Linked DNA regions of Callithrix jacchus. The main gene of each other region encodes a partner of the protein of the gene in region 4 in a complex. Links are inferred from orthologs where the notes say so. Each region holds a gene or a part of one and is shown on either strand. Other genes may lie near its edges.

Evidence for each region.
Region 1: NUP160 (region 4) and NUP188 share a complex: the UniProt entries of both Homo sapiens proteins name them as parts of the nuclear pore complex. The link is inferred for Callithrix jacchus from reciprocal best matches to the Homo sapiens genes NUP160 and NUP188.
Region 2: NUP160 (region 4) and NUP214 share a complex: the UniProt entries of both Homo sapiens proteins name them as parts of the nuclear pore complex. The link is inferred for Callithrix jacchus from reciprocal best matches to the Homo sapiens genes NUP160 and NUP214.
Region 3: NUP160 (region 4) and NUP93 share a complex: the UniProt entries of both Homo sapiens proteins name them as parts of the nuclear pore complex. The link is inferred for Callithrix jacchus from reciprocal best matches to the Homo sapiens genes NUP160 and NUP93.
Region 5: NUP160 (region 4) and NUP98 share a complex: the UniProt entries of both Homo sapiens proteins name them as parts of the nuclear pore complex. The link is inferred for Callithrix jacchus from reciprocal best matches to the Homo sapiens genes NUP160 and NUP98.
Region 6: NUP160 (region 4) and CETN3 share a complex: the UniProt entries of both Homo sapiens proteins name them as parts of the nuclear pore complex. The link is inferred for Callithrix jacchus from reciprocal best matches to the Homo sapiens genes NUP160 and CETN3.
Region 7: NUP160 (region 4) and NUP107 share a complex: the UniProt entries of both Homo sapiens proteins name them as parts of the nuclear pore complex. The link is inferred for Callithrix jacchus from reciprocal best matches to the Homo sapiens genes NUP160 and NUP107.

What each region holds. Positions count from the first base shown.
Region 1 is NC_133502.1:177,568,838-177,572,337, forward strand, and holds part of NUP188 (nucleoporin NUP188), read left to right. Parts: intron 1-180; coding exon 181-301; intron 302-429; coding exon 430-496; intron 497-999; coding exon 1,000-1,128; intron 1,129-1,458; coding exon 1,459-1,598; intron 1,599-2,958; coding exon 2,959-3,065; intron 3,066-3,500. UniProt on the Homo sapiens protein: Component of the nuclear pore complex (NPC), a complex required for the trafficking across the nuclear envelope. Required for proper protein transport into the nucleus.
Region 2 is NC_133502.1:179,850,767-179,854,266, reverse strand, and holds part of NUP214 (nuclear pore complex protein Nup214), read right to left. Parts: coding exon 1,934-3,500; intron 1-1,933. UniProt on the Homo sapiens protein: Part of the nuclear pore complex. Has a critical role in nucleocytoplasmic transport.
Region 3 is NC_133521.1:14,711,607-14,715,106, forward strand, and holds part of NUP93 (nuclear pore complex protein Nup93), read left to right. Parts: intron 1-483; coding exon 484-675; intron 676-1,376; coding exon 1,377-1,503; intron 1,504-1,618; coding exon 1,619-1,691; intron 1,692-1,984; coding exon 1,985-2,029; intron 2,030-3,500. UniProt on the Homo sapiens protein: Plays a role in the nuclear pore complex (NPC) assembly and/or maintenance. May anchor nucleoporins, but not NUP153 and TPR, to the NPC. During renal development, regulates podocyte migration and proliferation through SMAD4 signaling.
Region 4 is NC_133511.1:112,905,990-112,910,273, forward strand, and holds the start of NUP160 (nuclear pore complex protein Nup160), read right to left. Parts: upstream 2,801-4,284; 5' UTR 2,774-2,800; coding exon 2,674-2,773; intron 2,424-2,673; coding exon 2,312-2,423; intron 2,022-2,311; exon of another isoform or gene 1,829-2,021; intron 1-1,828. UniProt on the Homo sapiens protein: Functions as a component of the nuclear pore complex (NPC). Involved in poly(A)+ RNA transport.
Region 5 is NC_133511.1:69,112,007-69,115,429, reverse strand, and holds part of NUP98 (nuclear pore complex protein Nup98-Nup96), read left to right. Parts: intron 1-1,487; coding exon 1,488-1,642; intron 1,643-3,423. UniProt on the Homo sapiens protein: Plays a role in the nuclear pore complex (NPC) assembly and/or maintenance. NUP98 and NUP96 are involved in the bidirectional transport across the NPC. May anchor NUP153 and TPR to the NPC.
Region 6 is NC_133503.1:120,379,172-120,382,671, reverse strand, and holds part of CETN3 (centrin-3), read right to left. Parts: intron 2,590-3,500; coding exon 2,475-2,589; intron 1-2,474. UniProt on the Homo sapiens protein: Plays a fundamental role in microtubule-organizing center structure and function. As a component of the TREX-2 complex, involved in the export of mRNAs to the cytoplasm through the nuclear pores.
Region 7 is NC_133510.1:50,419,531-50,423,030, forward strand, and holds part of NUP107 (nuclear pore complex protein Nup107), read right to left. Parts: intron 1,486-3,500; coding exon 1,335-1,485; intron 993-1,334; coding exon 880-992; intron 1-879. UniProt on the Homo sapiens protein: Plays a role in the nuclear pore complex (NPC) assembly and/or maintenance. Required for the assembly of peripheral proteins into the NPC. May anchor NUP62 to the NPC. Involved in nephrogenesis.

The DNA.
Region 1 (3,500 bases), on a different chromosome or scaffold from region 4:
AACTTGGGCTCAACTATAAAGTAGGAATTTTGACGTTTGTTGATTTTTTTTTTTTCATTGATGACCAAGGTTTGCCTAGATTTCCTTTGGCCCTATCTGTGGTTTTGGAATTAAATCTGTAGGTAACTAAAAGACTTTTTCTTACATGTGCGGAAGCCCTCAAAACATGGTTTCTTGTAGGGGCAACTTGGTAGTACCCAGAGCCAAGGACTTGTACCCTGTGTAATGTTTGTGCTGAAGGAGATGCTTCCCAGCTACCATAAGTGGCGCTACAACTCTCATGGAGTGAGGGAACAGATTGGTAAGGACAGCATGGGCAGGGCAGATCTGGGGATTTCTGGCTCCAGGGAGAGCTTCTTTCTTTCCCTTTCTTGAGATAAGGGTCATTACACAAGGCCACATCATTCCTGTGTCTTTTTTGGAGTCCAGGTTGCCTGATCCTGGAGCTGATTCATGCGATACTGAACCTGTGCCACGAGACAGACCTGCACAGCAGGTAATAAGGGGTTGTGTGTGTGTGTGTGTGGGTGTGTGGGTGTGTGTGTACATACACATACAGTAACATGTTAATAATTCTTTATGATCTTTACAAAAGTTCATTCCTGACAAGATGCTCTTCCTATGTATCTACTTCCCAGAGCCAGTTACTATGTTTTCTCATTTTTTTCTTCTTTCTGTACTGACTATAACTTTCTTTCCATACCATTGCATATAAATGTCTTGTTTTAATGGTTCCATGCATTCCATCGTATTGATTAATCATGATGCTTTTCAGTAGCTGTGTCTGTTAATTGATGGACATTTAGATTGCCTCTTAGGGTAATCTTTAGGTGATCAAGTCTATTTCAGGAAAGTGATCAGAGTGCCTTCAGCTTGCAGAGAGCTGGTCTCCAGTGTCCAGTAGTTTAGATTTGCCACCCTAGCGCAACTGGACAATGCCCTTCCTTCCAAGATACACTGAATGGCTCCCCAGTAACTCAGAACACCTCTGTCTTCCAGTCACACTCCCAGCCTGCAGTCTCTCTGCATCTGCAGCCTGGCATACACAGAAGCAGGGCAGACAGTTATCAATATCATGGGCATTGGCGTGGACACCATTGACATGGTGATGGCTGCTCAGCCTCGAAGGTAGGGCTCCTTCTGACCTTCGGTTTGTTTGTCTTTATTGTGCCTGCATGTTTCTAATAACTCCAGTCTAAGTTAAAACTTGTAGTAGCTTTTAGAAGACGACATTGTTCTTCCTAGGACGTAGCCTTTATATACTCTAGTGGCTGCTGTATAGACTGGCATTTAGCAAAAGGAGTTGATTACTCCTCCTCTCTCCTAGTTTGTACTGGGGCCTCTAACAGAAGCTGTTGAACTCTGGGATTATTGTTGGAATCTAATTCATGAGAGCACATATGTTGCGAATGAAGTCATAGTGTCTGAATCAACTTTGGTTTCCATTTGGCACCCTAGTGATGGGTCAGAGGGCCAGGGGCAGGGCCAGCTGCTGATCAAGACAGTGAAACTGGCATTCTCCATCACCAACAACGTGATTCGGCTGAAACCTCCTTCTAATGTGGTGTCACCTCTGGAACAGGCCCTCTCACAACATGGTATGTATTTCTTTTCTAGTCAGTAACATTTCTGCCTATAAATACATATTTCAGTGTTTTGGGATGTCAATATTTTCTGCTTAACTTCTTGAGGAAATTTGGGAAGGATTACCAGCTCCTTTCCTGGAATTGTAAACAAAAGGACTAGATGGTACTTTATTTCTGCCTCCTAGTGATGATAGAATAATAGTTAAGGACGCAGATTTGAAGTCAGACTGCCATGGTTCAAATTTTGTGTCCAATCAACTGTGACTTTGGGTGCATTATTAAAGCACTCTGCTTCCAAATTCTCATCTATAAAATGGTGATAATGGTACAGGTTGAGTATCCTTATCTGAAATGCTTGGGACCAGAAGTGTTTTGGGTTTCAGATTTTTTTTTCATATCTTAGCATAGTTGCAGTATACTTAGCAGTTTAGCATAAATTCAGAATGTTCCATTGAGCTATAGTTGGACATATTGGCACATTCTAGGTTTTTAAAAATTTATTATTATTTTGTTTGTTTGAGACGGAGTCTAGCTCTGTTGTCCAGGCTGGAGTGCAGTGGCATGATCTTGGGTCACTGCAATGTCCGCCTCCTGAGTTCGTGTAAAGAAATTCTAATAACTTTGGCCATTAAATCTCTGTGACCTTACGCTGGTTTATTTAATCTCTTTGGGACCCAGTTTCCTCGTTTCCAATTAGGTGTCTGGATATGTTCAATACCCTTTCTGGTTGTGTAATTTGAGGATTTTAATGAGTTTTTTCATTTTAGTGCAATGCCTTTTTCCAAACTATTTGTTAAAAGCACCTATTTTAAGGGCTTGGTGTGGTGGCTCACATGTGCAATCCCAGCACTTTGGGAGGCAAAGGCGGGCAGATCACTTGAGGTCAGGGGTTCGAGACCAGCCTGGCCAACATGGTGAAACCCCGTCTTTACTAAAAGTACAAAAAATTAGCCAGGTGTTGTGGTGCACACCTATAATCCCAGCTACTTGGGAGGCTGAGGCAGGAGAATCGCTTGAACTTGGGAGGTAGAGTTGCAGTGAGCTGAGATTGTACCATGGCACTCCAGCCTGGGTGACAGAGCAAGACTCCATCTCGCGGGGCGGTGGGGGGGACTAAAATAAGCACCTATTTTGTCCAAAATGTATCTTTGCTATTGATGAATTGGATTGAGCTGTTGACCCCCAAATTCTGGGTATTCTTTTGCTCCTCAATAAAGAGAAGGATATAGCCTTCTGGGTTTGCTGTGGCCCTTCAAGCGCTTGAGGGTGAATTCATTCATATGTACAGTATGAGACTTTTTTGAACAGCCAGTGCTCTAAGGACTTCAATGAAGCACACTTGATATCTAAACTGTTTCCTGTGCTTCTTTAGGTGCTCATGGAAACAACCTCATTGCTGTTCTAGCCAAATACATCTACCACAAACATGACCCTGCTTTGCCACGTCTTGCTATTCAGCTGCTGAAACGTCTGGCCACGGTAGGATCCTACTTCGTGTACACATATTGTTTATATGAGGGTGTTTTTTTGCCTGATTATAAAAGACATGTTCAGGTCAGGTGCAGCAGCTCATGCCTGTCTGTGATTCCAGCACTTTGGGAGGCCAGGGTGGGAGGATCACTTGAGCCTAGAAGTTCAAGACCAGCCTGGGGCACATAGTGAGACCCCATCTCTAATATAGAAAGGAGAAAAAAAGGCATGCTAATTGCAAAATATTTATTTAAGTGTTACAAATAGATGTAACATAGCAAGTTAAGATGTCAGCCGGGCGTGGTGGCTCACGCCTGTAATCCCAGCACTTTGGGAGGTTGAGGCGGGTGGATCATGAGGTCAAGAGATCGAGACCATCCTGGTCAACCTGGTGAAACCCTGTCTCTACTAAAAATACAAAAAATTAGCTGGGCATGGTGGCAC
Region 2 (3,500 bases), on a different chromosome or scaffold from region 4:
CATCTAGGAAGTGGAGAAGATTCTGAGAAAATACTTTAAAGACCCCTTTCCATTGCTAACATTTTAAAATAGTTTAAGTTCTAAAGTTCTGAGGACTGAATCCATCTCTCCTACCAAACCCCGAAGTGGATGGGGGCTAAGAATAGCTTACTTTCAGTGATCAGAAATTCTAAGGGCTGACTTAATACTACAAATATTTCTACTCCTTGGTTTCTTTTGAATCTCAAACAACACATTCTTTCAGGGTAGTTTATCTTTCTTCCAGATGGCATAACATGGTTGAAGTGCTGAGTTGAACAAATGAGCTCCAGACAAGGAGTGAGAAGGCAGGAGTTCTATTCTCATTTCTTTTTCTTTTTTCTTTTGAGACAGAGTCCCACTCTATCACCCAGGCTGGAGTGCAGTATCGTGATCTCAGCTCACTGCAACTTCTGCCTCCCAGGTTCAAGCGATTCTCCTGCGTCAGCCTCCCAAGTAGCTGGGATTACAGGTGCTGCCACCACACCTGGCTAATTTTTGAATTTTGAGATGGGGTTTTACCATGTTGGCCAGGCTGGTCTCAAACTCCTGACCTCAAGTGATTGGCCCACCTAGGCCTCCCAAAGTGCTGGGATTAGAGGCGTAAGCCATCACACCCGGCTTCAGTTCTCATCTCTGTCACTGATTGGGTAGGTGAGCTTGGACAAGACTCAATTCCTCAACCAGGGCTGAAGTAGACAGCTCAGATACCTTTCCACACAGTTACTAAATGAAAGAAGAAGATTCCTTCATGGGTTCTGAATCTGTTGAAATAGCATGACCATGCCTGTGCATGAGGTCTTCTCAAGTTCTGACTGCAGAACAAATGGCGCAGTAGAGATAGGGACTGTGTTAAATGTCCTCCTCTCTTTTAAGAGACTCTCAGGGCCTTCTTGTTCCCCATTCTCTGGACCAAATTGGCACATTTCCCATCATTCAGTGGTCCATGGCCTCTTCACAGGGCATTGGGTGGGTCTCAAAGTCGTGTCTGTCTTTTCGACACTGTGTCTTTATAGCTGAATTTAGTAATAAATATAACAACCATTTGTTGAAGGAAGAAAGGAAAACATTTCCTTTCTAATAAATTATGAACCATTTTCAAGTTTCACTGAATAATGAATTAGCAGTTACTAGTAATCTTGCCCACCATGAAATCATTGATCCTTACTTTTCTCCCAGAGTCTATTGCTGAAGAATTGCCTTTCATAAGGTAACTATCAGAAAGCAAATCTCAGGACAGATTTTAAAATTGCCTTGCCTATTGATAACTTTTGGAAGTAAAAGCAGCTGCTAAAATGGAAAATGCAATAGTGAAGAAATTCACTGCCAAAAACAGTAAACTGTAGTTTTTACAAAAAGTCACAACATTGAAAAAAGGAAAAAACCCCAAATTAAATGTTAGTATCTGCCATTACAGTAAGAAAGATGGTGTTAGAGGGGACAGAAAACCCTGGCAGAGAGGTGGACTATGATGTCCCTTGGACTCTCCCGCTGGTTCTACTAGCGCTACCTGACATGAGCGCAGTCTCCTTGACACTTGATGGTTTTGGGCATAATGACCTCTAAAGTGCCTTCCAAATTTGAAAATTCCTATCTATCAGTCATTAAATTACTTGCCAGGACCTTAAACTAAAGATGCTTGTTTTTTCCCCACGAAACTGTCATTCTGGTAGCTAGCAGGCGACAACTTGTTAAGAAGCAAGACTGGAGCTGCGTTAAACTGTAACAGATCCAGTCAATTAGGCAAACAAGTTCCTGACACCGCATGTGCTCCACGCTGCCTTCCTTAACCTACAAATTATTTTTGGGTTCTGAGTCTCCCCTTTCTTTTAATTACAAAAGTAATATGGGTCTGTTGCTAATGTTTCGAATAGCAGAGAGGGAAACAAAGTAAAAATCTTCCACAAATTCTTACCTGAAGCTTGACAAAAGCTGAACCCAGAGGATGCTGCTGTTGTGGTGGCAGCTGAGGTACCACCAAATACAGAGCCTCCTTGTCCAAAGCCAGGACTCTGCCCAAAAGCAGGAGGGTTGCTTTGGCCAAACAGCCCCCCTCCTGTATTGGTAGATGACTGTCCAAATGAAAAGGAACTGGAGCTACTGGTACTTGAGGAGGCACCAAAGACACTTCCACTGGTGGATGTGGGGGTAGAGGAAGCAGGCTGACCAAAGGCAGGCACAGAACTGAACCCAGGTTGACTGAAGGAAAAGCCACTTGCAGCGCTGCTCGCTGACTGCCCAAAGGCTGGGGCCTGCCCGAAAGTTGTCTGTCCAAAGACCCCTGGGGCTGATGTGCCAAAAGCTGGACTGCTAAACCCTGAGCTGCTGACCTGTGGTGTGGCAGCCGCTGTGCTGACTACACTTCCCGTCTGCTGCCCAAACAGGCTGGGTGCAGTGCTGGCTGCCACCTGACCAAACACGGGCGTGGCAGAGGGGGCAGTGGCTGTGTTGTTGGTGAGCTGGCTGAAAGCTGAGCTAGAACTGGCAGCAGGGGGCTGAGCAAAGACTGATGAGCCAGAAGTGACAGTACCAAACGCCGCTGCCTCTGCAGCTGGACCCGGAGCAACAATGGGTGTGGTGCTGGAGGCTATGGGGGCACTTGATGTTTCTACAGCCACAGGGCCTGCACTTGAGATAGCAGCTGCTGTGACAGTAGTCTGCCCAGGCACGGAAAAGGTGGAGGCAGGTGGTACTGACTCCGTCCTGACATCAGGGCCCCCAGTGGTGGCTGGAGTAGCCTCTGCAGGGGCTACAAGACCGGTACTAGATGCTGCAGTGCCAGAGTTGCTGACTGCAGGCTGGGCAAGAACAGGTTCTTTTTTAATAGAGTCGGAAGTTTGCAGAGGAGCCTGGGGAAGCTGGGCTGACTGCTGCTCCTCTAGAAGTGAGGCTGTTGATGCTGACACCTCACTGTCACTTGGCTTCTCAGGCAAAGCTGATAAAGTGGCCTCTTCTGTGCTTCTGCCAGAGGACATAGGCAGGGAGGGAGTAGTTGCTGAACTCAGGAGGCTACTGAATGACAATGTGGGAAATGATGTTGGAAGGGGAGTGGCAGCTGTAGTTGACAGTGGGGCAGATGGGGGCACTGTGCTATTGGTCTGCTGGCTTCCAAATGAAAAACTAGTCTTGCCACCACTTAGAGATGTCCCACCAAAACTGATTACCCCAGAGGATCCTGCACTGGTGACTGGCAGACTGCCAAAAATGCCAGTTGAGGAAGTGCTCGTGCTGGTAGCTGCTGGTGGTGCTACTGTGGTGGTGGTTGCAGAGGAGGTCACAGGGGGCTCTGAGAGCTTCCCTAACACTGAGGGGCCAGTAAAATTAAACCCTGAAGGCATGCCTGACGTCTTGTTTGGCTGGGTACTAGTTAGGCTTGTGGATGAAGCCTTATTGGTTGGCTTTGTAGAATCATCTGCTTGACCAACCCGCAGTCCTGAAAAACTTCCCAGAGTCTCTCCAGCCAAAGAACTTGGAAACAGAAG
Region 3 (3,500 bases), on a different chromosome or scaffold from region 4:
TGCTTTTTCCCCCCTTATTTAAAAACTGGAAAGAAAAGAAGATTCCAAATAGTGGTTAGCAATTGTTGCATTCAAATTTCTGTGAATATGAGTAAACTGAAGCTTTTTTGAAATCTTCATTTATCTCCTTGAGTACTTAACAGGGTAAAGGAGATGAATACTCCCTTTGTGGTCCATTTTAAGTCCTTAACTCTGTGTCTCTCCCACCTAATGCAAGCAGTTGGAGTTTTACAACACAGTCATACTTTCTAGTCATGAGGTCTAGAGAAGGTGGAGGAGCCAGGTCACATTTCACATGGCAGTTGACTGTCTTCAGGACTCCCTCGATCAATTCAGGCTCATGCTGGTGCTTTCTTCTGCCCAGCAAGTTCTATAGGCCCACAGGGCTGCTGTCTGGGGGTGTAGGTGCTGGTAGTTTTAGCACATATGGGCCGCTGGTGAGCACCTTCCGAGTTGGTTTTATCTCCTCTCCTCTTTCCCCAGGCGAGTCGCACTTTACAGTGAACCAACAGCCCTTCCTCTACTTCCAAGTCCTATTCCTGACAGCACAGTTTGAAGCTGCAATTGCCTTTCTTTTTCGCATGGAGCGGCTGCGCTGCCATGCTGTCCATGTGGCACTTGTGCTGTTTGAGCTGAAATTGCTTTTAAAGTCCTCCGGACAGAGTGCTCAGCTCCGTGAGTATTTGGGATTGGGTTGGCAGTAATGTAACCACAGCACATCCCTGGTGCCCCAAAACCACAACCAATAAGGATTTGAGCAAAGGATAGCAGTCATTTTAGAGCATTGTAGACAGCTGAGCATTTTAGATGATTAGTGTTAGGGTTCTTGCTTTCCCCCACATTAGTATTCCCTTGGAAGTTAACTATATAAAGTGCTGTTCAAAGTGCTAGCTTTGTGGCCAGTCTGATTGCCTGGAAAATAGTGCAGAAGAACAGTCCCTAGAGTCATGGGTCTGATTTCCATTAGGGCCCTTGCTTTAATGACATTGGAAACCCTAGCCAGCCATGTGCCTACCTGCCTGGGATGAGAGAGTCAGGGGAGACAGAGGAAGTAAATTGGATGCATGGCTGTGGGTTCCTTATTGGTGCAGCAAAATCAGCCCAGAGCACATGCTGTAATGGTCAGTTGGATTATCTTTTCATTCAAAGACCACGTATTAGTAATTTACGGCAAAGTGCTGTTTTCTCCACTCTGGGCCTGGAGAGGAATTGAGGATGGGGTGGTAAAAAGGACTGGCCAAAGCTTATATTGGCAAATATTGACTGGGCTGTAGGAGTAGACGCTGCTGGGTCTGCAGATTCAGCTTCCATAGTTTCTGGGTTGCATGGGTCAGTGGGGCAGTGTGGTGTGACCCACTCTGACCCCCACAATGCAGTCAGCCATGAGCCTGGTGACCCTCCTTGCATGCGGCGGCTGAACTTTGTGCGGCTCCTCATGCTCTACACCCGGAAGTTTGAGTCCACGGACCCAAGGGAAGCCCTTCAGTACTTCTATTTCCTCAGGTAACATTTGCTTTTGAACATTTATTTCAGCTAGTTTCGATTTCTGCCATTCTGAGAATGACTGTTAGAGACCTCATGTCCGGACTAGAAACTGAATTGTTTTTTTCCCTTACAGGGATGAGAAAGATAGTCAAGGAGAAAACATGTTTCTGCGCTGTGTGAGTGAGCTTGTGATTGAAAGCCGAGAGGTGAGTGGGTTTCCTTTTCTCTCCTCCCCATGGTTTTCAGTGTTCATGTTCCCATGCTAATTCCATACTGCATGTTTTCTTCAATATGGCTGTGGTGGATAAGGCCTAGAGGGTTTTTGGAATTTTCTTTGGTTTCTAACATTGAAAATATTTGTTTCAGTCACACTGATTTTTAGTTGCGTAAGACTTATCCCATTCATCCCATTGTATTACCCTCTTTTCTCTCTGAAGACTTATGGATTATGTTTATATCTTTGTCCAATAATTTGAGTAAAGTTTTTTTCCTTCCACAGTTCGATATGATTCTTGGGAAACTAGAGAATGATGGAAGTAGAAAGGTGGGTTAAATGCATCCTTAGAGAAATGTTTTTAGCCATTGGGAATTAATAAATACCAAAAGAATACACTTAGATTTTAAGATTTAAGGTATGAAAAATACAAATCTGAACAGAGTTACTTAATTTTTAAAGTTGAATGAAAATTATGGGCCCAGATTATTACCTTGGTTTTACACACACATATCTCCTTAAAATATGTAAATTTGTGATTAGATAGCTTTTTTACTGTGTTCAGAATATTCATTTGTTCATGCCTGTCGTTTTTTTGAGCTGAGAATGCTCTTATACATTTCTGTCATTCTTGGCTCAGAAAACATGCAAGAAAAACAAATTGATTACTGCACCCATTTTCCCAAGATGCAAAAGTTGCAAGTGCACCTGACTTCCTTCAAAATGCAATTTCCAAGGGTTTTGAACTCCACAGTGACTCCTGGAAGCCTGAGGGATCCCCAAGACTTACTTTGCCCATTGATTGTCATGGCAGGAGGGTCAAAGTTCCTGTTGTCAGAGACCAGTTCTGACCCTGAATCTCCCTCTGGTCTTTGGAAAGTCACTTGCCCCTCAGGGACTGACTTTTCTCATTTGTAAAAATGAGTAGTTTTGACCCAGCAATCTGTAGATGAGCTCACACTGCTCATACCACCTCCCTCAGAAGAAAGGCAAGTAACAGTGCTGATGACAGTGGCCAGGCTTATTGGGTGATGATAATCACCAGGCACTGTGCTGAGCACTTTGCATAAGTTTCTTTAACAGGCTGCACTGGGGCCAGGAGGATCCCAGTGTGTATGAGTTGACAGAGCCAGAAACATAGATAAGACCTTATTCCCTGGTGCTTCTAGAGTGGCAAGGCAAGTCACCTCAACCTGGTCCAGCTCTGAGAATCCGGTGCCAGTGGAGAAGCAGAATGGCCAGGCACAGATGTTATGCAGTTGCCTTCATTCTCCCAGGGTGCCTAAGGCCTCTCTCATGCTCTCCTGACCATTTAGTTGCTGTTGAGTGGTGATGGTGATTTTTTAAAGAAATGTCCTGTTACCACTTAAATTGTGTTTTTTCAGCACTGAGTTCCTTTTGCCATCTGTCTTAGAACACAAATCCAGAATCCTTCAGATATTTTCTCTGTGCCTCCTGATTTTTCTCCCTAGTCCCTACTCATCAGCAAATTTAAAATCATTGATTTTACCGACTCTCTGGGTCATTTTGGAAAATTAGAAAGCCCAGATGTCTTATTGCTGACTTCTCTGCGCTTCCAGTAAGTCTGCCCTTTCACATGTAGTTTCCTTGATCTCTTTTATAGTTTTAATAGGACTTTATATCTTCAAGAAAGCCAGAGTCTAGCTGATGAAATACATGCATTGCCCAGGGCAAGCATTTTTAGTTGAAGTATTTTTTGGATCCTAATTGTTTCTCTGTGTTTAAAATAATAGTTCTGTGCACCCATCTCTCTCTTCCTCTCCCTCCATAATTTGTTTTG
Region 4 (4,284 bases):
ATGGTGGCTCACTCCTGTAATCCCAGCAAGTTGGGAGGCCAAGAAGGGGTCCAGCAGTTTGAGATCAGCCCAGGCAATAAGGCAAAACCCCATCTCTACAAAAACAAACACAAAAATTAGCTGGGCGTGGTGGTGCAGACCTGTAATTCCAGCTACTTGGGAGGCTTAGGTGGGAGGGTCACTTGAACCCAGGAGGCAAAGGTTGCAGTGAGCTGTGATTGCACCACTGTACTCCAGCCTGGGCAATGGAACCAGACTGTCTCTCAAAAAAAAAACAAACAAAACTTTTTTTTTTTTAGAAATGGGGTCTTGAACTCCTGGCCTCAAGAGATCCTCCCACCTCAGTTCCCCAAAGTGCTGTGATTACAGGTGTGAGGCACTGTACCCAGCCAAAATAGTTCTTAATTAAACGAAATTTGTATCTCTAATATAAGTCTCTCTTTTGAGCCTTAGATGTATAACTTTCAAGGCCTACTTGACATTTTCAAAGGGCTGCTGCCCAGGTACTTCAGATTTACTATTTTCGATACAATTATTCATATCTTTCCAAAATCCATCTTCTATGTTATCTCTGTAAATGGCAACCCCTCCCCACTCATATCTGGTTAGTCACATCAGACACCAGGGAGTTGTCCTGCTCTCTCCTTTTCATTTACCATCCCTTACCCCATATTCAATCCACCACCAAGTCCTAGTGAATCTATCTTCCAAAGGCATCTTGAGTCCATCTACTTTTCTGTTTCTAGTCATTCCCACAAGTGAGCCACCAGCAACTCTTACTTAGGTCATCCTAAGAGCAAAATTTTCTTTGTATTATACCTATTATACCCATCTAATCCAAATCCACCTTCCACACAAAAGTAGACTGAGATCTTCTAAAAATACATCTGAAAAAATTTAGATTCAGGGATACATGCGCAGGCTTGTTACGAGTTTGCTGTGTGTATATCCCTATATACATAAGGTTTGGGCTTCTAATGATCCCGCTGCCCAAGCTTTGAACACAGTACCCAATAGGTTTTCCAACTCTTGCTTCTCTCCCTCCCTACTTTTGGAATCCCCAGTGTTAACTCTTCCCATCCAAAATTGCAATTTTGATGTTACTCTTTAAAAACCTTTCAATGATAACTCAATGTACTTAGGATAAAATCCAAAAATCCTTAAAAATGGCCTAAGAGTCCCTCATAATCAGAGTCCTGCCTCCCTCACCAACCTCAGTATCTCACATCACTTTCTGTTCTACCCACTGCACTTAAGCCACACAGATCTTTGTTCAGTTCCAAATCTGCCAAATTCTCGCCACTTATGACCTTTGCATATGGTGATCCTACTTGCCGGACTGCTCTCTGTCCGCTCCCCTTGCCTGGCTAACCTCGTGTCCTTCAGATCTCAGGGTAACTGTGAATTCCTTAAAGCCTTTCCCTGCCCCACTAATTACATTTGGTCCTCTCAGCCTCTCATACCCCGATATTTTTCCTCTAGGGCAAGTATGAAAACTTGTTTTTGGCCTGGCACAGTGGCTCAAGTCTGCAATCCCAGCACTTTGGGAGGCTGAGGCGGGTGGATCACGAGGTCAAGAGATCGAGACCATCCTGGTCAACATGGTGAAACTCCGTCTCTACTAAAAATACAACAAATTAGCTGGGCATGGTGGTGCGTGCCTGTAATCCCAGCTACTCAGGAGGCTGAGGCAGGAGAATTGCCTGAACCCAGGAGGTGGAGGTTGTGGTGAGCCGAGATCGCGCCACTGCACTGCAGCCTGGGTAACAAGAGCGAAACTCTGTCTCAAAAAAAAAAAAAAAAAAAAAGAAAACTTGTTTTTATATACCTGTGTTGTGGTCATTAGTTTTAATGTCTTTTTCCTCCACAAAACTTCCATGAAAAGTGGATCCATATCTACTCTGACATTGTTACAACTTCTTGCATGATGAAAATGGTGGTTGTTTTTGTTTATTTCATCCTGGTACCTAGCACAATGTCTGACTTACTGAAGCTCAAACATATATGAACAATGAAGAAAGCTGTAAATAAAACATAATGGGTTCATGTTTAAAACCGGTCTTATGGGCTTTATCCCCTAAGCTACATATCCTCTGCTTTTAGTGTTATTTGATATGTGTGTGTGTGGGGGGTACCTCTTCTAGAACTCTGTGTCTCAGTTGTCCCCTGATTCTCATATGAACTGAAAAAACAACCTTTCTCTTTCCCTAAATGTCAATTACCATTTCTAGAATAACACTGGGAACAGCGATGAAAATTTATACACCAAACTCTACCTTGCCAGGGGAGTCTAGAGAACCACAGTACTTACCAATGAATGAACCTGTTTCTGGTGATGGAGAACAACTTGCCACTCTCTCCATAGTAAAAGCCTCCCGCGCTCTCACTGTATTTTGCGGCGCCAGCCACGGCATTTGCAGTCCCTGCAAAATGAACGTGGTCAGACTGCACAGGCGTCCTCCGAGAAATGACAGGGACTAAGGGAGCTGACAAAGCAGAGGGTGACAGACTGACAACCCATACGAAGAGGAAAACATCAGACGCCAAGGAATCTCTGATCCCGGGGCTAGAGGCATGTGGACTCAGGAGGATGAACCAGGGAGTCAGATCGTGGGACCCATGAGAGGAGCCCGAGGGGACAGATCGGATCGCGCCGTTCCTGGCAACCCGTACCAATGCTGCAGACTGTGAATTCCCGAAAGTGCCTCGGCCTTTCGCGCTCTGCTCCGCTTAGCTCCACGAAGCTCCGATCTATCGAACCCGCCGCCGCCATCTTCCCGCCGCCGCCGCGATGCCCGACGGGACAAAGGGAGGTCCGCGCGGCCTGCGTCACTTCCGGGGGCGGGGCGGCAGAGCTGCGGGCAGGAGGCAAGTTGCGAGCAGAAAGGCAGTTCCGGCCTTTCGTTGCGGGGCTTCCACCCTGAGAATGAGGGTGGGCAGCGAGGAAGCCAGAAGAGAAGTGGGCCGGGGAGGCCGATTCTATCTGTGGGAACCTTCGAGTGGTCGGCTAGGACGCCTCCAGAGGGCGGTGCTCTTTTCTCGGCGGCTGCAGGGCAGGGGGCGGGGCCGGGTTTGTTTCGGTTTCAAAAACGCGGGTCGAGTCTCCCAGGAGGGGCGAGATCCGGAGAGGCACGGCCGGATCCCGCGTTCACGGTCATCTCTCACTTGGTCAGGCTGTCCGTCTGTAAATCTCTGCCCGATCCTCCCTTCACTCTTCAGCGGCGACACTTGGGATAGTGGAGTGAGGAAGGGGTAGTGAGGAAAAGGCCTTTGGTTTTGGCCTTTTCCCCCCACCAAGAGACTGTATTCGTGTATACCTGTATAATGAAACGTAATGTATTAGTTAAACCTTGATGCTGCCACCTGCTGAGGTTTCCTGAGTGCTACTCACTTGGATGCGTGAAAGGCATTTTGTCATTCATTCAACCCATGATCTTGCACTTGGCTGTCAATACAGTAAAGGCCCATAGTCCTCAGTGTTTAGAAGATGTTGGGCCGGGCGCGGTGGCTCACGCCTATAATCCCAGCACTTTGGGAGGCCGAGGCGGGTGGATCACGAGGTCAAGAGATCGAGACCATCCTGGTCAACAAGGTGAAACCCCCGTCTCTACTAAAAATACAAAAATTAGCTGGGCATGGTGGTACGTGCCTGTAGTCCCAGCTACTCGGGAGGCGGAGGCAGGAGAATTGCTTGAACCCAGGAGACGGAGGTTGCGGTGAGCCGAGATCGCGCCATTGCACTCCAGCCTGGGTAACAAGAGCGAAACTCCTCTCAAAAATAAATAAATAAAAATAAAACTATACACCCATACTGACATGCCTCCCTGTAACTCCATCAAGACTGTGAACCTTGAGTGGGCCCATAATGCTGCCCAGCAAACACATTGTATTTGCTTTCTCCACTTAAACTGTTCTGAATGAGTATTTATTTCGTAACTCCTGTAACTTTCATTGCCTCCTCCCTCATCCTCACTCTCAGCTTGCTTCTTCATTTAGAAAAAGCAATCAGAGGCCAAGATGGAAGGATGGCTTGAGGCCAGGAGTTCAAGACCAGCCTGGGCAACATACCCCCATTTCTAATAAAATTTTTTTAAAAATTAGCGAGACGTAGTGGTGTGCCTCTGTAGTCTCAGTTATAGGAGGATTGCTTGAGCCCAGGAGTTGGAGGTTACAGTGAGCTGCAATCTTGCCACTGCATTCCAACATAGCTAGAAGGAGATACATCTGGGAAGGAGGAAGGGAGGACTTCTTCTACAATGACATCTCCCCACCTACCAGCATCTG
Region 5 (3,423 bases), about 44 Mb from region 4:
TAGCAATTGGCCGGGCATGGTGGTATGTGCCTGTAATTTCAGCTACTCAGTAGGCTGAGGCAGGAGTATTGCTTGAGCCCAGGAGGTTGAGGCTGCAGTGAGCCATGATCATACCACTGCACTCCAGCCTGGGTAATAGAGGGAGATTCTGTCTTAAAAGCAAAAATATTTGACTGCATATCAAGAGGTCCTCGGTTCAAATCCGGGTGCCCCCTAAAAATAAATAAATAAAATGAAATGAAAAAAAAAAAGAATATTTGGGGCCAGGCATGGTGGCTCACGCCTATAATCCCAGCACTTTGGGAGGCCAAGATGAGCAGATCACTTGAGCTCAGTAGTTTGAGACCAGGTTGGGCAACGTGGTGAAATCCCATCTCCACCAAAAATACAAAAAATTATCCGGGCATAGTGGCACACACCTGTGGTTTCAGCTATTTGGGAGGCTGAGGTGGGAAGGAGGATCACTTGAGCCTGAGAGGCAGAGGTTGCATTGAGCTGAGATGGCACCACTGCACTCCAGCCTGAATGAGAGTGAGATTCCAACTAAAAAACACAAAAAGCATTTGTGATTCATGGAAGGATGTCAAAATATCAACATTAAATGACAGGCGTATGGAAGACGTTGAATCCGGCCCTCATGGATGACTTTGAAAGGTTCAAGACTTTAGTGGGAGAAATATCACAGATGTGATGGAAACAGCAAGATAACTAGAAGTGGGCCCTGAAGATGTGACTGAACTGGTGTCACTCATGAGGAATTGCTTTATATAGACAAGCAAAGAAAGTGGTTTCTTGAGATTGAATTTGTTCCTGGTGAAGATGCTGTGAACATTGTTGAAATGCCAGCAAAGGATTTGGAATATTATTTAAGCCTAGTTGATAAAGCAGCAGCTGGGTTTGAGAGAACTGACTTCCGTTTCTAAAGAAGTTCCACTGTAGGTAAAATGCAATCAAACAGCATGCCGTGCTACAAGGGAAATCATTCATAAAAGGAAGAGTCAATTGATATGGCAAACTTCACTGTTACCTTGTTTTAAGAAATTAGCATAGCCATCCCATCCTTCAGCAACCAACACCCTGATCAGTCAGCAGCCATCAGCATCAAGGCAAGACCCTCCACCAGCAAAAAGATGGCATGCTGAAGGCTCAAGTGATTGTTAACATTTTTAGCAATAAAATATTTTTTAATTAAGGTATGTATGTTGGTTTTTAGACATAATGCTATCATTGCACACTTAATAGACAACAGAAGTATACTATAAACATAACCAAACAATCAAAAAATTTATGTGACTTTATTACGATACTTGCTTTATCGTGGTGTTCTGAAATGGAACCCACAGTATCTCTGAGGTATGCCTGTATGCGCTTTTAATTCTGAAGTCCAACATTATTTCTCCTTGCTTTCTGTCTTCCTGCCATGTCTTCTGTACTTTTAGAAACCGTGCACTTGTGCAGACATTGTTCTCAATATTTTGTTTCTTCAGATGCCATCATTAATGAGAAATATGACTACCTGAAGGGGTTCTTGGAAGACTTGGCACCTCCAGAGCGCAGCAGCCTAATTCAGGATTGGGAAACATCTGGACTTGTTTACCTGGACTACATTAGAGTCATTGACATGCTCCACCGTATACAGCAGGTACCTGAGATCCTGAAATTGCTGCCTGATTTTCCTTTTCTCAGGCCCTTCCATCTTTAGAGCCCTCACAAGGCCTTAGTATATACTTGAGAACGCATTGGCAGACATATTACTGTAAAAGCAGGCAGGACATCTTGCTGAGGCTCATTTGATATAACCATTTTGACAGCTGTATTGAAACTTAAAAATGCTTTTTTTTTTTTTTTTTTTTAAATATATAAGATGGGGTTTCACTATATTGGTCAGGCTGGTCTCTAACTCCCAACCTCAGATGATCTGCCCACCTTGGCCTCCCAGAGTTCTGGGATTACAGGTGTGAGCCACCGTGCCCAGCCCTAAAAACGCTTTTTTATGTTTATTAACAACTAGTATGTGCAATAGACATTCCTGAGGCTTGTCCATAGACAGTCCCTTTCCCTTGTTCAGCCCTAGTTTGAGTGAAAAACCCAAAGATGAGAGATTAAGAATGAAGATTCGATGAGGATCATTGTTTCACACATTATTTGGCATGTTTTAAAATAGCAAAATAGTTAATTTGGCAGGTTTTAAAGTTGCAAAATGGTTAAGTCTTTATTAAAATGTCTTGGGTCAGTTTTTTTTTGTTGTTTTTTTTTTTATTGAAACAGAGTCTTGCTCTGTCACCCAGGCTTAAGTGATTCTTACGCCTCAGCCTCCCAAGTAGCTGGGACTATAGTGGTGTGCCACCACACCCAGCTAATTTTTGTATTTTTAGTAGAAACAGTGTTTTACCACATTGGCCAAGCTGGTCTTGAACTCCTGGCCTCAAATCATCAGCCCGCCTTGGCCTCCCAAAGTGCTGGGTGTATGCATGAGCTACTGCACCCAGCCTTAAGGTCAGTCTTTGTAGTCATAAAATGGGTCTCCACCGCTTGCTTATGGTACAAAAACCAAACTCATTTTAATAAATATAGGATTTAAGTCCTTTTTGAGGCCTTTACCTTTCCAGCCTTACTCCTACCACTCATTTCACATTCCAGCCTTGCTGCCCTGCTGTACTCACACTAAATTACTTCTGGTGTTTCTAACAAACCATATTATGTTCCACACTTTACCTAGCACACTTAAACCCATCCTTTAACATCTAGGTTGCTGTTAGCCCTACTTCTCCCTCCTTTTCCCCCAGAGATAATTAATTGCACTTTCTTACTACCAAGATACTTAGTGCATTTTTCTACCGTCAGACCATGTTGTAGTTACTTGTTCACATTTCCAGGTTGCCATAAGCCCCTTATGGAGAAATCTTTTAAGGTTAGAGGCAGTAAAGTATAGGAATTAACAGCTCAAGTTCTAGAATTAGACTCATAATTTCAATTCATGGCTTCCAAATTCACTGGCTGTGCAATCTTGTGCAAGTTAACCACCCCCTTTGTCTCGTCTGAAAGAAAAAAGTGGGTGGGGTAGACAGTGGTACAGATTATAGCTCATATCTGATAGATTTTCACAAAGGTTAAACAAAATATACTCAAAGTGTTTAGCATAGTGCCTTTCATGTACTAAATACCTTTTTTTTTTTTTTAAGGCAGAGTTTTGCTCTGTCACCCAGGTTGGAGTGCAGTGGCATAATCTCAGCTGACTGCATCTTCCATTTTCCATCTCCCAGCTTCAAACAATTCTCCTGCCTCAGCCTCCCCAGTAGCTGGGATTACAGGTGTGTGCCACCACACCCAACTAATTTTTATTTTTAGTAGAGACGGGGTTTCACCATGTTGGCCAGAGTGGTCTCAAACTCCTGACCTCAAATGATCCACCCACCTTGGCCT
Region 6 (3,500 bases), on a different chromosome or scaffold from region 4:
CTTCTTCCCAATCCCAGTACAGTACCTAACAAAAAATTCAGTGTTAAATAAGCAAAATGAAGACAATAATACAGTATTATTATCTGAAACGGCAGTAATAAGTAGTACATGTCAAAAAGAGCATACAAACGTTTGACTTACGTTGGTCTTAAAGAAAGTCATTCCTAAAGCATCTGTTACTCACTAGTCTCAGGTTGTCTTGACTCTAAACTAAAATTAAATATATTTTAACGCTTTTTTTCAGTAGGAAGAATCTATAGTAGTTAAGTGCCAAATTCATCCAGATATATTTTGGAACAGTATCCTTAGGTAGTTCATAAAACTAGGACTCAAATGTTCTGAATTAGAATCATTTGTCCCAAAGTATAAAACATATTAATCTGTGGTCAGTCATTAATTAAAAATAACAAACAAAAGTGGGAATACATAGTTCTTGACTGACTGATTCCCAAACAGTAATAAACTTTTATTTGACACCTGGTACTTCTCCATAGGTAGCCTTAAAATTGCTAAGATAAGTGTTGACAAAAGGTTAATCTTTGAGTGTCAAAGCTGAAGTTTTGCCCCACCTATTTATTCTACAAGGAATCCAGCATTTCTGCTTTGTTAATAACATAGAACAGATAGGTGTCAGGAAAAAGTGAAGGTGGCATGGGATTCTGGTCCCAAATGCCAATAAAAATCACAACTTTTAAACTGTATTCATTTAAGATAAAATATTTTGTAAAATTATTAATGATGATATAGTGCTTAAAATAGACTTTATGAAAAAGATCAATAAAAAATATACAAAGAGTATATTTTATGTCCCAGTGATACATATGTGATTATTTCAAGCCCCTGAAACAAAGACAATTTTTTTAAAATAATAATAGCAAATGTTTAGTAGCACTTACAACATGCTAGGCCTTTTCTAAGTACTTTACATAACATTAACTTATTTAATCCTCACAAGAATTTTATGAGAGAGTACAATGATCCCTGCTTTATAGTTGAAAATGAAGCACAGAGTATTAAAATGACCAAGTTCCAGAGCTATAAAGTGGCAAAACCAAGGTATGAACCTAGGGAATCTGGTTCCAAGTGCTAAACCACTATACTGTACTAAACATACCTGAATTATAGCTCCTCCCTAATAGTCATTTCCACTGTATACCTTGTTTCTACAAATAAACAATCTAAGGTAAAAACTAGGAATACTGTGATCATAAACCTCAGGAGAGTGTCCGTTCTGAGAGAACAAAAGGTGGCTCTCTCCCTCTCCTCAAATAAGTAATTCTATAAATTAGAGGATAAAAAGAAAATGCTCCCTACATGGACAAGTAGCTTTTCTAAACAGTCATATATTAATTCCGAAGTTGAGTATCTTCTATGTTGTGGTTTTTTCTTTTTCTATTAGGTTTATCATTTCTTCTCCATCTCAACTGCTCTTGACGTGAGCTTTTGGATTTAAAAAAAACCTGACTAATGACATGAATATAAACTTTCTCTGTGTCTACTAAATGCCATTTCTTTTTGCTTCCCATATTGCTTCTTGATGAATATTTAAAATAAGTAGTTTGTGTACGTAACAGTTTCCAAATTTTTTAAATATCTTAAAATATTTATATGATGTGCTTATATCACGACCCACTGGTTGAGAAAAAAAATAATAGAAATAAAACTGAATATTTATACATTTTGTAGATAATATTCTGGGCTATATGTATTTAGGTCATAATAGCAAAGTCCTTGCCTTCCAGAATCTTCTATTTTGAAAAAAACCTAGTCTATATATGCTAAAAATAATTTACTAAAATCAACTATATAAAAATTTAACCATATTAAGCCTATGACGCATTATCTTCAGTTGGTGGTTCTAGGATGTTTTCTCCTGCTTCCGGTATGCCCACTGCCTCCTTTACTACAACCCTTTCCCCAATCCTAACTCTAAATAGATAGCTTTTTCCACTGAGATAAAGGTTATCCAGAGGATGTAGCCTCTTATCAACTTTGTCAACCTGAAGTCATGAATTTCATCTACAGCTAAAGATACCAACTACCAGTTCCCCCTTGTCCCACTTAGCCAACAAAAATCACATACCAGAAAGATCTTGGGAAACATCTTCCAAATAGCAGGATATCAAATTTTCTGTTTTACTAAATAAAAATAATTTTTTGATCACCCTTCGAGTTTTATCACATAATATAAATACACATAACTTGGAAAAGCATCTTTCCATAAACAGCTACACAATAGTTCCCTGGTTAGAATATTCAGAACAAAACAAAACTACGAATCTCAGAGCAAAGCCATAAATATTTCTCTGAAAATAAAAGTTAAAAACAAACAAACAAAACTGAGTAAGAGTCACATTATACACCAGTGTTCTATAAGAAAATTCCATAACCTAGAGAATTTAAAATAAAAAAACTGATATTAATCAGACAATTTCCTAACAGCTGCTGATTACAAAGACTATTAAAATACACACCAACTTCATTAAAATCTTCAAAGGTGATTTTCCCTGTGGCTTCTCTGTCATAATCTTTAAGAATCTTCAGTACATCAGCTTTTTTTACATCAAACCCCAAGGCTCTCATTGCCACCTTTTGGATTAAAAGGGAAAAGCAAATTATGAAGCATTCTTTACTAAAAAATTTCTAATTCTTAAGTTTTTACATCTTAAGAGATAACACCAAATCAGTAAAATATAACTCTTTTGTATCTTTTATCTCTCTAAAATAGCAAAGTAACAGTGTAATTGTTCTTCAGTATTGAAATTGTTTTTTCATTTATAAATTGCATTTTTATATGACAAAGTAACAAGTGTTTACAAATTTTACTATATAAAATGCACTAACATACTGCACAGATAATTTGATTGTTATTTGTTCTCAAGGGATTAACAACCAAAATGAGAAGGCATGGCATAAATATTAAACAGTTATATGACAGAAGAGATAAAATATTAAAATAAGAATTATCACCAGTCTCTCCATGATTAGTTATCATGTAAATGTTAGGGCTAAGGACCCTGAGTTTAGAGGGGAAAAAGAGAGATTTTGTTGCTAGTAACAAGGAAGGAGACATATTACTGATTACAGAAGTCTTATTTGGAAAGATTCAAGTTGTTCCTTGAATGATAGATGAAGAGGAGCACTAGGGCATTTGGGAAGGATGACTGGTATTAAAAGGGATACTGAAATGAAGGTTTGAAGGACAGTGAACAGAGCAGTTTACATTACCTGAATTAGAAGAGTTCAGGTGGAAGAAAGCAATTAGCTAATGAAAAAAAGGAGTTGGTGGCAAAAGTGTAGAGAACATTCAATAGAAAGCAAAGAAATCTGAACTTTAAGTAGTGTGTAATGAAAAGTCATTAATAGTAAAGATTTATGAGCAATGAACAATTTATGAGCAATGGTGAAAGAATTTTTAAACTATCTAAATTCAATGGTAGTATACAAGGTGAACTAGAGGTAGAGAAATCATTTAGGAAGCTCCAGGTATAAAATAAGGT
Region 7 (3,500 bases), on a different chromosome or scaffold from region 4:
ATTATGATAACATCTAACTTTTCTTAGTGTATTTTCATATTTCACAGCTCTCTATTAAATCATAGAAAATACTGCCACACATGGTGGCTCACATCTGTAATCCTAGCACTTTGGGAGGCCGAGGCAAGCAGATCTCTTGAGCTTATGAGTTCAAGACCAGCCTGGGCAACACAGCAAAACCCTGTCTCTACATAAAATATAAAAAAGTAGCCAGGCATGGTGGCACACGCCTGTAGCCCCAGCTATTCGGGAGACTAAGGGAAGATGGCTTGTGTCTGGAAGGCAAAGGTGTAGTGAGCCAAGATAGCGGCACTGCACTCCAGCCTTGGTAACAGAGCCAGACCTTGCCTCAAAATAAATAAATAAATAAAAATAAATTATAGAAAAAATTTACTGGATTATTAATTTGGAACTATATATTGTATGTCTCACCAACTTAACCATGTGATTCCTTTAAATGTTACTCTAAAATAGTTTTCTTAGACATAACTTTCTATTCCTTTCTGAAAATACGAGTAAGCAAGCTACATAAGTTAGTGATTAACAAATATTTAAAATAACCTGATGAGCAACAAACCAAAGCTGAGATCTTTTTTTTCTATTAAAGAAGCTTCCTTTAATATACTACAAGTAATCCTTTACATAAGATTTCTTTCTATTAAAGAAGCTTCCTTTAACATACTACAAGTAATCCTTTACATAAGACTTAAAATTTGCTGCCAATTTTTGTAGTTTAACATGTATGGGCTGACGAAGAAACATTCTTAAAAAAGAAAAACTAACATAGAATTTCTTTTACGAAGGGAGAAATTCACCAAGGAATAACATAAAAGATTATTAGAAGTTACACAACACCTTTGCCCCCCCATTCTAAATTACCTCAGTAGTGCCAGTATCTAGGGCTGGGGCCAGGTCATGATGACTAAATTCACTGTTATCTTTCTTTCGAATATTCTCAACTACAGTTTTTGTTATTGTTGCAACATCCAAATCTAAATTATTTTTTGAAGAGACAAAAAATAAAGATTAATCATTGATACTAATATTCTCTAAACAGTCACAATGATTTGGTAAATTTGGAACAATAATCCTTAAAAATGAAATATGTAAAATATAAAAGATATTTATATAAAAGAAAATGCCAAAACTAAAAGATATTTTACATATGAGTTACAGCATAAGTAACATTAGTCCTAAAACAGAAATTCCCTGAAAATTTTATTACTTTTTTCCCCTAAAAAGAAATAAGATTTAAAACTAGGACAAATATTACTATAGTCAAAATGAGTATTTGCCTACAAAGGTCAATGGACAAAGTTTTCAACCATTTTTACCTGCTTCTTTAGCCAACTCCAAGCAATGGTGGCGCTGCTCAAATTCTGTAACACTTTCCAAAAATAAAGCATACTGGGCAACAGCTAGGTCTTGAGGCAAATGACAGGTATAAAATGCTATGAGATTTGTATGTTTCTCACTTATTAAAAGCTAAAAAACAGAAAAAGATCAAAGTATATCAGTAATAAAAAAGTTTACTTCAAAATCTCAAATATATTCAGGAGAGATTCATACAGATATGGATTTCTGTTGCTAAACATAATTTCATTTTATGTTTGTTTATTTGAGACAGGGTCTCACTCTTGTCACTCAGGCTGGGGTGTAGTGGCACGATCATGGTTCACTGAAACCTCTGCACCCCGGGTTCAGGTGATCCTCCCACCTTAGCCTCCCAAGTAGGTGGGACTACAGGCATATGCCACCATGCCCTGATGATTTTTTGTACTTTTTGGTTTTTTTTTTGAGACAGAGTTTCGCTCTTGTTACCCAGGCTGGAGTGCAATGGCGCAATCTCGGCTCACCACAACCTCTGCCTCCTGGGTTCAAGCAATTCTCCTGCCTCAGCCTCCCGAGTAGCTGGGACTACAGGTGCGTGCCACCATGCCCAGCTAATTTTTGTATTTTTAGTAGAGACGGGGTTTCACCATGTTGACCAGGATGGTCTCGATCTCTTGACCTTGTGATCCACCCTCCTCGGCCTCCCAAAGTGCTGGGATTATAGGCATGAGCCACCGCACCCAGCCGATTTTTTGTATTTTTTTAGTAGAGATGGCTTTTCACTATGCTGCCCAGGCTGGTCTCAAACTCCTGGGCTCAAGTGATCTGCCCACCTTGGCCTCCTGAAGTGCTGGGATTACTGGCATGGGCCCCTGTGTCCAGCCCAGAATAATTTTAAATTCTAAAAAGTGAGTGCAGTTGGCCCTTAAACAGCATAGGTTTGAACTGTGTGGGTTCACTTATATGTGGACTTTTTTTCAATAAATATATTGAAAAATTGGCTGGGTATGGTGGCTTGTGCCTGTAATTCCAGCACTTTGGGAGGCTAAGACAGAAGTGTCACTTGAGGTCGGGCCTGGTAGCTCACACCTGGAATCCCAGCACTTTGGGAGGCTGAGGCAGGCAGATCACATGAGACCAGAGTTTGAGACCAGCCTGGAGAACAAGACAAAAATCCCATCTCTACTAAAAATACAAAATTTATCCAGGCATGGTGGCACATGCCTGTAATCCCAGCTGCTCGAGAGGCTGAGGCAGGAGAATTACTTGTCCATTTCAGACAGACAATTCATCCTGTAAACAGACAGCATAAACTTACAATATTAACAGATATAGTATAGTACTATAAATGTAGTTTCTCTTCCTTATGATTTTTATTTATTAATTTTTTAATTTTTAGAAGTTATTTATTAATTTTCTAACCTTTTTAAAAAAGAAGACAGGCTCTCACTATTGCCCAGGCTAGTCTTGAACTCCTGGACTCACCCACCTTGGCTTCCCAAAGTGCTGGGATTACAGGTGCAAGCCACCATGCCCGGCCTGATTGTTTTTTTTTTTTTTTTTTTGAGATGGTCTCACTCTCACCCAGCTGGAGGGCAGTGTGGTGAGATCATAGTTCAATGCAACCTCCATCTTATGGGCTCACTCAATCTTCTTCCCTCAGCCTCCCAAGTAGCTGGGTTTACAGATGTGAATCACTGTGCCTGGTTAATTTTAAATAATTTTTTGTAGTAGAGAGAGGGATCTCCCTATGTTGCCCAGCTAATCGCAAACTTCTGGACCCAAGCAATTCTCCAGCCTCTGCCTCCCAAAGTGTTGGGATTACAGGTATGAGCCACCATGCCTAGCCCTTATGATTTTCTTAGTAATGTTTTCTTTAGCTTACATTATCATAAGAATACCTGGAGTATTATCATAAGAATACCTGTTGTTCAAAGTACAGCAGAGCTTTGAACAACATGGGTTTGAACTGTGCAGCTCCTCTTACGCACAAATATTTTTCAACTCGACTTATATAGAAAATGTAGTATTATCTGGATGTGAAATCTGCAAATATGGAAGGCCAACTTTTTGTACATGCAAATTGTGCAGAGCCAACTGTGGACATGAGTATACACAGATTTTGTTATATGTGGGGGTCCTGGAACCAATCCCCCAAGAATACTGAG